3 separate regions of the Mus musculus genome follow, and all the other regions are reported to be linked to region 3. The links are microRNA targets in miRTarBase. Many come from high-throughput screens and were not tested one by one. Region 3 holds a microRNA gene; each other region holds the end of a gene's coding sequence.
What was found. The annotated mature microRNA mmu-miR-181a-5p reads AACAUUCAACGCUGUCGGUGAGU and lies in region 3 at 1,076-1,098, opposite strand. An mRNA with a match to its seed (bases 2 to 7 or 8) in the 3' UTR can be bound and repressed. Matches are read on the target gene's strand: a 7mer-m8 pairs with bases 2 to 8, a 7mer-A1 pairs with bases 2 to 7 and ends in A, and an 8mer does both.

Region 1: miRTarBase lists Slc7a11 as a target of mmu-miR-181a-5p. The part of its 3' UTR that is shown has no 7-base or 8-base seed match.
Region 2: miRTarBase lists Rbsn as a target of mmu-miR-181a-5p. The part of its 3' UTR that is shown has no 7-base or 8-base seed match.

The regions. Positions count from the first base shown.
Region 1 is chr3:50,369,662-50,372,845 of GRCm38, forward strand. Slc7a11 (solute carrier family 7 (cationic amino acid transporter, y+ system), member 11) reads right to left here. Exons shown (of 12, transcript NM_011990.2): 12 at 1-2,705. The coding sequence ends at 2,641. Among named protein-coding and RNA genes, the nearest start is that of Slc7a11, 72 kb to the right of the region's middle.
Region 2 is chr6:92,186,446-92,189,629 of GRCm38, forward strand. Rbsn (rabenosyn, RAB effector) reads right to left here. Exons shown (of 12, transcript NM_030081.3): 12 at 267-3,184. The coding sequence ends at 2,865. Among named protein-coding and RNA genes, the nearest start is that of Mrps25, 4.0 kb to the left of the region's middle.
Region 3 is chr1:137,964,382-137,967,565 of GRCm38, reverse strand. Mir181a-1 (microRNA 181a-1) reads right to left here and starts at 1,111; the gene lies at 1,025-1,111. Mir181b-1 (microRNA 181b-1) reads right to left here and starts at 927; the gene lies at 848-927.

The DNA.
Region 1 (3,184 bases), not on the chromosome of region 3:
ATGTACATCAGCACAAACATTGACCCATGTAATTGCATGTGTATATACATATATAAATCTAAAATATGAGAAACATTTACTTTGTATAAAAACACATATTACAAGTGTGGAGGAGTATTCCTGAATTTAAAACCTGTTTTATGGCCTCATTGCGTTACTTATGTCGACTCTTAGTTGTCGGGAATGGTAATCGAGACCCAGTGTCTGCTTCTCTCTCTCACCCTCACCCTCTAAGCAATTGATATCATGCGTGAGTGCATCTCCATCCATGTTGTCCAGGCTGGTGTCCAGATCAGCAATGCCTACTGGAAGCTCTACTGCCTGGTACATGGCATCCAGCCTGATGGCCAGATGCCAAGTGACAAGACCATTGGGGGAGGAAATGACTCCTTCAACACCTTCTTCAGTGAGACAGGAGATGACAAGCATGTGCGTCAGGCAGTGTTCATAGACCTGGAACCCACAGTCATCAATGAAGTTCTCACTGACACCTACTGCCAGCTCTTCCACCCTGAGCAGCTCATCACAGGCAAGGAGGATGCTGCCAATAACTATGCCCGTGGCCGCTACACCACTGGCAAGGAGGTCATTGACCTTGTCCTGGACAGGATTCATAAGCTGGCTGACCAGTGCACGGATCTCCAGGGCTTCTTGGTTTTCCACAGCTTTGGTGGGGGAACTGGCTCTGTCTTCACCTCCCTGCTGATGGAGTGTCTCTCCGTTGATTATGGGCCCTGAATGTTGATCTGACAGAATTCCAGACCAACCTGGTACCCTACCCTCGTATCCACTTCCCTCTGGCCACTTATGCCCCTGTCATCTCTGCTGAGAAAGCCTACCATGAGCAGCTTTCTGTAGCAGAGATCACCAATGCCTGCTTTGAGCCAGCCAACCAGATGGTGAAATATGACCCTTGCCATGGTAAATACATGGCTTGCTGCCTGCTGTACCGTGGTTATGTGGGTCCCAAATAGTCAATGCTGCCATTGCCACCATCAAGACCAAGCACAGCATCCAGTTTATAGATTGGTGCCCCACTGGCTTCAAGGTTGGCATTAACTACCAGCCTCCCACTGTGGTACTTGGTGGTGACCTGGCCAATGCCCAGTTCAGGATAATTTTTTAAAACATTGTGGTTTTACGTGGTCAGAATATAAGAGATGAAATTAACTGTGACTATGCTGAGCATTTAATTTTTGGATGTTAGAAAAATATTTTGAAAATCCCACCATTGCATTAATTCCATTTGAATATGGCTACTGTTTTCTAACTCTGATTTAACATATGTAGCTAGCTGAACAACCGTACTGAAGACTCTCCTTCAATGGGTTTGGTCACATCTCCCTCTTTTGCAAATTGAATTATAACTAAAGTGAAGAAATGACTGAAACAGCCTAGATTTTCACGAAGCAGTGGCATTTCGTTCATAGTTTTTATGTAAATCTGCACTTTTCCTAATTGATCCAGATAGTTTTAACCAGAGGCATATTTTAACAGAACTGTAAAGAGAATGCACACACTGTCAAAAACTCATCACCAGGTGAAAACAGCCACAAAGTAAAAGTGAGTAATTACTAACACTGCATATAAATGGGGCTCATAAAGAGAAAGCCTGATACTTGGAGATTTATGGGCAATGTCTCCCATGCTGATGTTGTACTGTGATGAGGAAAACATTTTTGTCCACCAAGAAGTAAATTATCAAAGAGGTGGTTCACCAATGGATAGCATACCAAACTGTACACATTTTCAGGAAAAAAACAAACCACAATGAATGCACAGTGATGTTGCAAACACCGAGCTTCCTCACAATGAGCTATGATGAAGTTAACCTAACAAGTTCTCAATGATTTTAGTACAAACATAGTTCCTAGGATTGTGTCATGAATACTAACCCCTGGAAATACTTATTTTATGCATTTAGGAAAATTAGGGTGTATGTGTATTTCAATGGTAGAGTGCTTGTCTGGCTTTTGTAAAGCCCTGAATTTGATCTCAAGCTACACACACACACACACACACACACACACACACACACACACACACACACACACACACTCACACACACTACTCCCTCATCTTTTGTTCTGATGCTCTGAGTATAAGCCATTGAAAGATAAGTGACAGCCATGTTGATCACTAAGGGAAAAGAGTCCAATGTCAATATCAAAGTCATTCTACCTTCTTTGCTACAATAATGACATTTTTTTCCAGAAAAATAAAAAACAAAATACTTTCACAGTATAGATGTCCCCAGTAGGTAAAGCTATGTTTATAGACCTCATATATACAGAAACCATTTTGGTCTTCTGTTCAAGGTTCTCAGTCATGATAAGAAACGTGGTAGAGGAATGATAGCCCAGGTACCAAAGCCCTTAGGTTTTTTTTCCTTTCCCCCCAGCAGATAGGCACTAGACTCAAGAACTGTGAGCTTGCCTCACTGTATGACTTGCATATTAGCTTGCTACAAATACATGGAGTTACCAGTAAGTTGCTCAGAAATTAATTTGAATACGCTAGAGGATATGAATAGAGATAACTGATTCCTTTAGTCCATCATCAACGTTGTGTTTTCTTGAAATAAAAATCCATTTTGTATCTCAATCCTGGGCAGATGGCCAAGCTTTTGATGCATTAAGTTCATAATTCTTTAGAGTCTTCTGGTACAACTTCTAGTATAATCTGTAATGTTCTGGTTATTCTGTCTATAAAGAAATAAGGAGAAATTAAAATGCATGAAAATCACAGTGGCATAAAAATAGCAAAATGTGAATTATTTGGGGATGAATACTGAGAAGACACAGCTCCCTTCTTCACGGAGCACTTCCGAGAATTATTTACTTCATTACAATCCTATCATCCTCAATTAGTTGACTTGTCACTACTACAACATCCCATGATGCTTTCTCAGTAAGAATATATTAATATTTTGTATTCAAATAAGAAAATTTATTTATGAACCAGGAGGCTGAAAATATTTTGAGACAATGGAACCAAGATATAAATAAATGTTTACAAATATTCTTCATGTTCATGTTCAGCTCAAAATGGGTTTGTTCTTTTTTTTTTTTTTTTTTTTTTTTTTTTTACATAGGGGATAACAACCAAGTTCTCAGAACAGTCAGGAGGAGAATAGTATTTCCAGTGTCTAATCTGTAGTACTGTTCAGCAAATTATCTTAATT
Region 2 (3,184 bases), not on the chromosome of region 3:
CTCCGAGCTTCAGTTTCTGGTGGGGATAGGACTGTAGAGTCGATGACCAGCCAGTCTAGCCTAACTGGAAAGCTTCAGGATGAGAAACCCTGCCTAAAAGGCGGATGGGTTTCCTAAGACTAATACCCAAGGTTGTCCTCTGGTCTCCACGTGCACATGCAAACATTCACTCACTCACACACACACACACCCCTCCATGTGCACATGCAAACATTCACACACACATTACAAAAAGGAAGTGAAGGGACGTTTTAAGCACACACAAGTCCAGCCATGAACATGTTATTTTTTTAATAAAAGCCTTACATAAATGATATTTTAATGTTTTTAATAAAAGCCTCTAATACAAGGCCCCAGTGTAGTGCATGCGCATCAATGACCATCTTGCTGACAGTCATCATGATTACCAGCACACCGAGCTCCTCTAGTCTGACCTCGTACCGAGGCCAATTCCACAATTTGAACCGCATGGCATAGCTACACAATATGGCTCATGATGACTTAGAAAGATGTTTTACTGTCTGACGACAAAGACATGATATGTGGTAAGTGCAGTGATGAGGCTCCAGTTCCTTAGTGTTGTTAGAAGGGAATAAGCAAGAAGCCTGTCCACTATGAACAGGACCTACACCTAAGGGATCTGCCAACACCGTATCAAGGACGTGCTCCATCCTTGGGAATCATCGAGTATTCACCCACGGTAAGAAGCTGGCACTGTGGTTCCCTCACAGGCCAAACCCCCTCTGCAAACCAACTCTGACCTGCATGCATTCTGGGAGCTGATCCAGACAAGGGGCAGACAAGTCTCTCGTGTTCTGTTGGACTTTCAGAATATGGTCAGCGAGGAATTCAATGAGAAACTCAGGAAACCCTCTGGGATCTGGGTTCACCCGGTTTAATAGTCAGTCAGTCTAAAAGCATTTGTTTTCTCCATGCTCTCAGTCAGACTGCTACCTGGGGTGAGTTCCAGAAAGAAGTACATTTAATAAGTCACTAGATAATTTTTTTCTCAATTTTTATTTTTGTTTATTTATTTATTTGTTTGTTTTTTGAGACAGGGTTTCTCTGTGTAGCCCTGGCTGTCCTGGAACTCACTCTGTAGACCAGGCTGGATTGGAACTCAGAAATTCCTGCCTCTACTTCCCAAGTGCTGGGATAAAAGTCATGTGCCACTACTGCCCATCGAGTCACTCACAGCTAATTAAGAAGCCCAGTCTTATAAGAAAAGCATTGTCTACAGTTGTACCACCCTGAACACCTGATTTGAGTCTGGAAAAGTAATGGTGGAAACCAGAATTTAGCTTCATTCTTGTGTTAGCACTGCCTCTTTGTCCATGACACAATAGCAGACCAAGCAGGGCAGATATGGTGGGCATGCCTGGAGCCTGGGCTTTAGAAAGAGGTAGCCTGCCCCAGGTAACATAAAATGCCAGGCTGCCTACCTTCCAGAACATCTTGACACCAACAGAGCTGGCAAATGGCTGGTAATCTACTAGCAGGCCAGTAAACACCTGTCAGCAGAACTCAAAGGGTTCATACGCTCCCTCCTTCTCCAGCCCTTCCCATAGCCCCATACAGGGCTCTCTATCCAGCCAAAGCCCCAACATGTACTAATGAACTGGGATTAAAGCTGCCAACATAGAGATCTTTGCACCCAGATAACATTCTTACCACCTAGATGGATCTTCACCAGAATGTGACAGAAGACTTTCAGCTTATACACCAGTAACCAACAAAAGGCATGGCCCAGAGAAAGCTGAGGGGAAAGTGACTAGTGGACAGTTATTGTCCATTAACTAAAGAGTATCATCACCAAAGAAATTACCCAGAGCTGAGCACACCAAGAACCTTACAAGGTCATCTGTCAATCGATCTGTTCCTGTAAACCAAAGTACTAAGCTACATAACTTCCCTTTCTGTTTTCTATCAAGAGTTCAAGTACTTCAGGGCTGTGGAATGGTCTCAGGCTGTGCCTCAAATATTTCCATTTCTCAGTACATCTTACCAGTTTCCCAGGTCAGGATAAACCACAAGGAAGAGGGCTGACTGGAGGGCCTTGAAGTTACTAGAATCATCCTGACTCAGAAGTGTTCCATCACCTGCTAATACTCCACAGAAGCTTCCCAGTCACAATTCCAAATCAACAGGCCCTTGAATGTGACCTGCAGAACGGTCATTCTACCAAAGACCTGGAAGGAGGTTCCCAGGGGATCAGACAGCTGCATAAGTAGAAACTTCTCCAAACCATAACATCCGCCAAAAAGTTGAACACTACTATCTCACAGTCAAGCTCACACTGACACCACCAGCCCACTACCCTCACACTTGGGAATTTTACTTCCTTTAACTGGGAGGGGACAACACTGGCAACATTCCTGCCATCCATAAAGAGGCCCTGGTCCCACTGGGCTTCACAGCAGTATCTCCCTAAGTGACGTGCTGAAAGGGAACAACCAAGTCAGGACAGACTTCTGCTAGAGCCCTGCCTATCCTGGCTACAGGAAGGGCCTGTCAAGGGCTGCCCTATAATACTGCATAATGACCAACAACAGTCCGCAGAAAATGAACTAAGAGGTGCCCATGAGCCATTTCTGCCTTGGCCCAACAGAGCTGTATCTTGAAAATAAAATGGTAAAGTCCCCTGAAAATGGAATACTTCATTAAAAAAAGAATACAGAAAAACCAGCACATGAATGCCGATTGTTTTTCCCGTTCTTGCTCAACTGTAGTGGAAATGTCTCAAAGTGCACAGCAAGAGACTACTGTTCCCACCCCAACCTGTGTGTGTTCAGATGCCTGCCCATCCCCACCTCACACTTGATATCCTGCTGCCCAAGACTCTGCCCAGTTCCTGCCCATTGCTGTCAATTAGGGGCCCCCTTCTGCTTAGCCAGGGTGCACTTCAGCTCCCGGAGGTTCTCCGTTAGAACCTCAACCTCGTCCATTCGCCCACACTGCTTGGCATCAAAGATGTAAGCCTTGATGTTGTCAATTTGCTGCAGGAGCAGCTCCTCCTCGATGTGTTCCTCGGCCTCCATGCCACTATCACTGTCCACCTCGAAGGGGTTGGTGGAGGGGCACTCTTCAAAAGGGTTTCCAGGGGCGGCTGGACTGGCAGGCCTGGGACCGTCATCCTCATCAAAAGGGTTGGGTGCTGGACTGTCTGGGTCGGTGAAGGGATTTC
Region 3 (3,184 bases):
TACCATGTACTAGGTACCATGTACACACTGTATGCTGAACATCCTGTTATAAATATTAACTCCAACCACTGTACTTACTATTGGAGGTGATGAACCTTAATGACAGATGTTCTTTTTGAAATTATAGAGCCAAACTAGTTAGGAAACACACACACACACACACACACACACACACACACACACACACACACACACTTGCTTGAAGACAGTCCCTGGAATCAAGTCTACCATTTCAGAAGAAAGTAGAGGGTAAATAAAGATGATGAACTATAATCTTAAATCTGAGGTCTCTCTGGGGAAACAAATCTATTGCATGATTATAATGAGCCCCTGGATAACAAAGTACTTGGCTATTGAGGTACTATCCCTCTGCCTACCAATTCCATAGAGAGTAGAGCCATTTCAGCGATTCTTTATGCAGAGCAAAAGAATTCCCTCTTGCTTCAAGCCCATTTTGACCAAGAAATCTAATGAAAGATGAGGGGATGGTTATTTTCTGTGTAACAATGTGACGGATAACGGGGCAGGAAGTAAGATATTTCTTTGGTTCTTCCTCCCACCAGCACAGCAGAGCAGGAAGCCGTGCCAACCCAGGGCTACACAGTTGATTCTGGGCATCCAACACTTTAGCATTTTTAAGAAATGCCCCATTTGTAACCCCCAGGAGTATAGAAAAGCAGTATTCTTATATAAATTAGTGACTTCCTCACAGAAATAGGACTTGATATGAATTGAATAAACAAACCTGAAAGTTCAGACAGCAGAAGTTAAACCGAGAAACGGCGTTAATACCCCCAGGACCTCTATTAGGGAGGGAACGTCTGTTGATTGCGACAGCAAAAAGCGGGGCCACAGTTGCATTCATTGTTCAGTGAGCTTTTCTACACAGTTCAACCCACCGACAGCAATGAATGTTGATTGTGACCTTTGTAAACATAGTCTCTGAAGAGGCGGGGAGAATCCTGTCGGGTCCTGCTTTGCGGTTCTGTCTTCAGCAAACGCAGAGGGCCATGGAGTAGATGATGGTTAGCTATAGGGTACAATCAACGGTCGATGGTTTTTATTTGAATTCCAAACTCACCGACAGCGTTGAATGTTCACTGAAGCAACCTGTGAGGCAGAGATGTGCTGATTTAAACAGTATCTGTGGGAGTCTGGAGCAGGAGGGAGGCAGAGGAAAGCCCAATCCTTTAACCAAACCTGTCACACATTTTAAACCATTTCAAAAGAGTACAGAAGAAAAGAAGCAGGATTCCTCCAGCCCAGAGCTTGGCAAACCTCCACTTTGTGCTGTGTCAAAGAAAAGAATCGGATTTTTTTTTTTCAAAAGGGAAGAAAAGTCCTTTTGGGGGGAGCTTAGTTACAGGCTGTTAAAGACAGGGAGAATTTATCATTCAACAAAATTGGAACTATCAAAAAGCAAAACAAATAGTATCTAAGTATCTCATAATTTAAATATTGGTATGTATATAATAAGAACTGCAAGGACGCATGTAGGTCATGCAGAATCAAGCAGAAACCACTTAGGTTTTCTCAAGTTACATTGCTAACAATTTTGAACTTCTATGTTTACAATGTGCATGGAATAAGCATTTATTTTACAATAGGCATTTTAATTAGTATAATTTCTTTTAAACATACTTATTTTTAAAACAATCAAGGAATCAAACCAATTTAGCACATCTTTCTTTGCTTATGACACAAGACTTTAAACTACAATGAAAATTAATACAACCTATGCCTACTGCCTGAAATTCAACTCCTCTCACTTTGGTTATTATATCCTAATATTGTTATTTGTTTTGATTGAGTGGATCTGGCAGTAACTTCTATCCATTTCCTAGGTGTTCTTGAAATGAAGTGCATTTACAAGTTAGTATGAACTCTATTGAGCATGTCTTCAAAACTGATTTCAAATATCAACTTAAACAAAAATCCCTTTGTACTCCTCAAAACTAGGGTAGAAAGTTACTACATTATACTTATGTAGACTCTTAAGTGGCTTTAATAAGTATATATATATATATATATATATATATATATATATATATATATATATGTGTGTGTGTGTGTGTGTGTGTGTGTGTGTGTGTGTGTGTGTGTGTGTAACTATTAATAAAATATTGGTGAACCATTCAGTCCAAATTTTTATACATATTCATTTTATTTACTTAGAATATTGTATGCTAAACCTGTAATCATTTATTATCTTGTACACGAAGAGATTACAGGACAAGTGTCTCTGGCTGGTATTTTGAGGTAGATAAGGTAACGATCTGCTGATGGCATGCATTCAGACTTCAGATAGTTACAAGACATAAAACTGATGAATCTGAATAGTCCTGTGTGGCTTCCTTTGAGATAGCTTTCCTGCAGAGGGCTGTCTCTTGTGGAAGGAAAGCAAGTCTTCCTGGGACCATCTGTGTTATCAGTTTCACCAGAATGCATGTTGCTCATGTTCCCTTGCTTGACCACTGCACTATCATATTCAGGCCAGCATCCCATTGCTTCTATACATACCTGTCATTGCTTTTGATATCATTTTTTCAAGGCTGCTGAGCTGAGACTCTAAGCCATGATCATTGCCTTATCTCAATATACAAAATTGGAACTACGATCAAGCAATTTCCATCCGAATCACAATTAATAGCAAAGCACCGCAATGTGAGGGGTTTCCAGAACCTTCTAAAATTCTCTGTAGAAAATATAAGTCCAAATTTCTCAAATTCTTAGAATAAAATTACGGAGAATACTATCATGAAGTTCTTAGGAGATTGAAAGTGATTGGTGTTTAGTAAGAAATTAGATTAAACATCACATCACTGACATATTTTAACTCCTATTTATCCAATGAAACATGTACTTTTCTCATGGCTATAGTTTTTGATGAGAAAAACCTCTCAATAACTTAAACTCACTCTCCATGAGGAAAAGCACCTCTGCTCTTGCTGCACCTGCCTCACAGTAAGAGAATAACTTCAGGACGGTATTCTACAGGGGAAAGATGTCTACTTGCTGATTTAGCTTACCTTTCCTCGGCTTTCTACAATGCTGGTTCCAATCACTATTTTACTAGCTAACCTTGTCTGCACTGTTATTTTCCAAATTTGATAATTGGCTGGAATATTAATGTTGGACAGTATTGAAATTTTACATTTTCTGTCAGGTGTCGAGTCTTATTTGA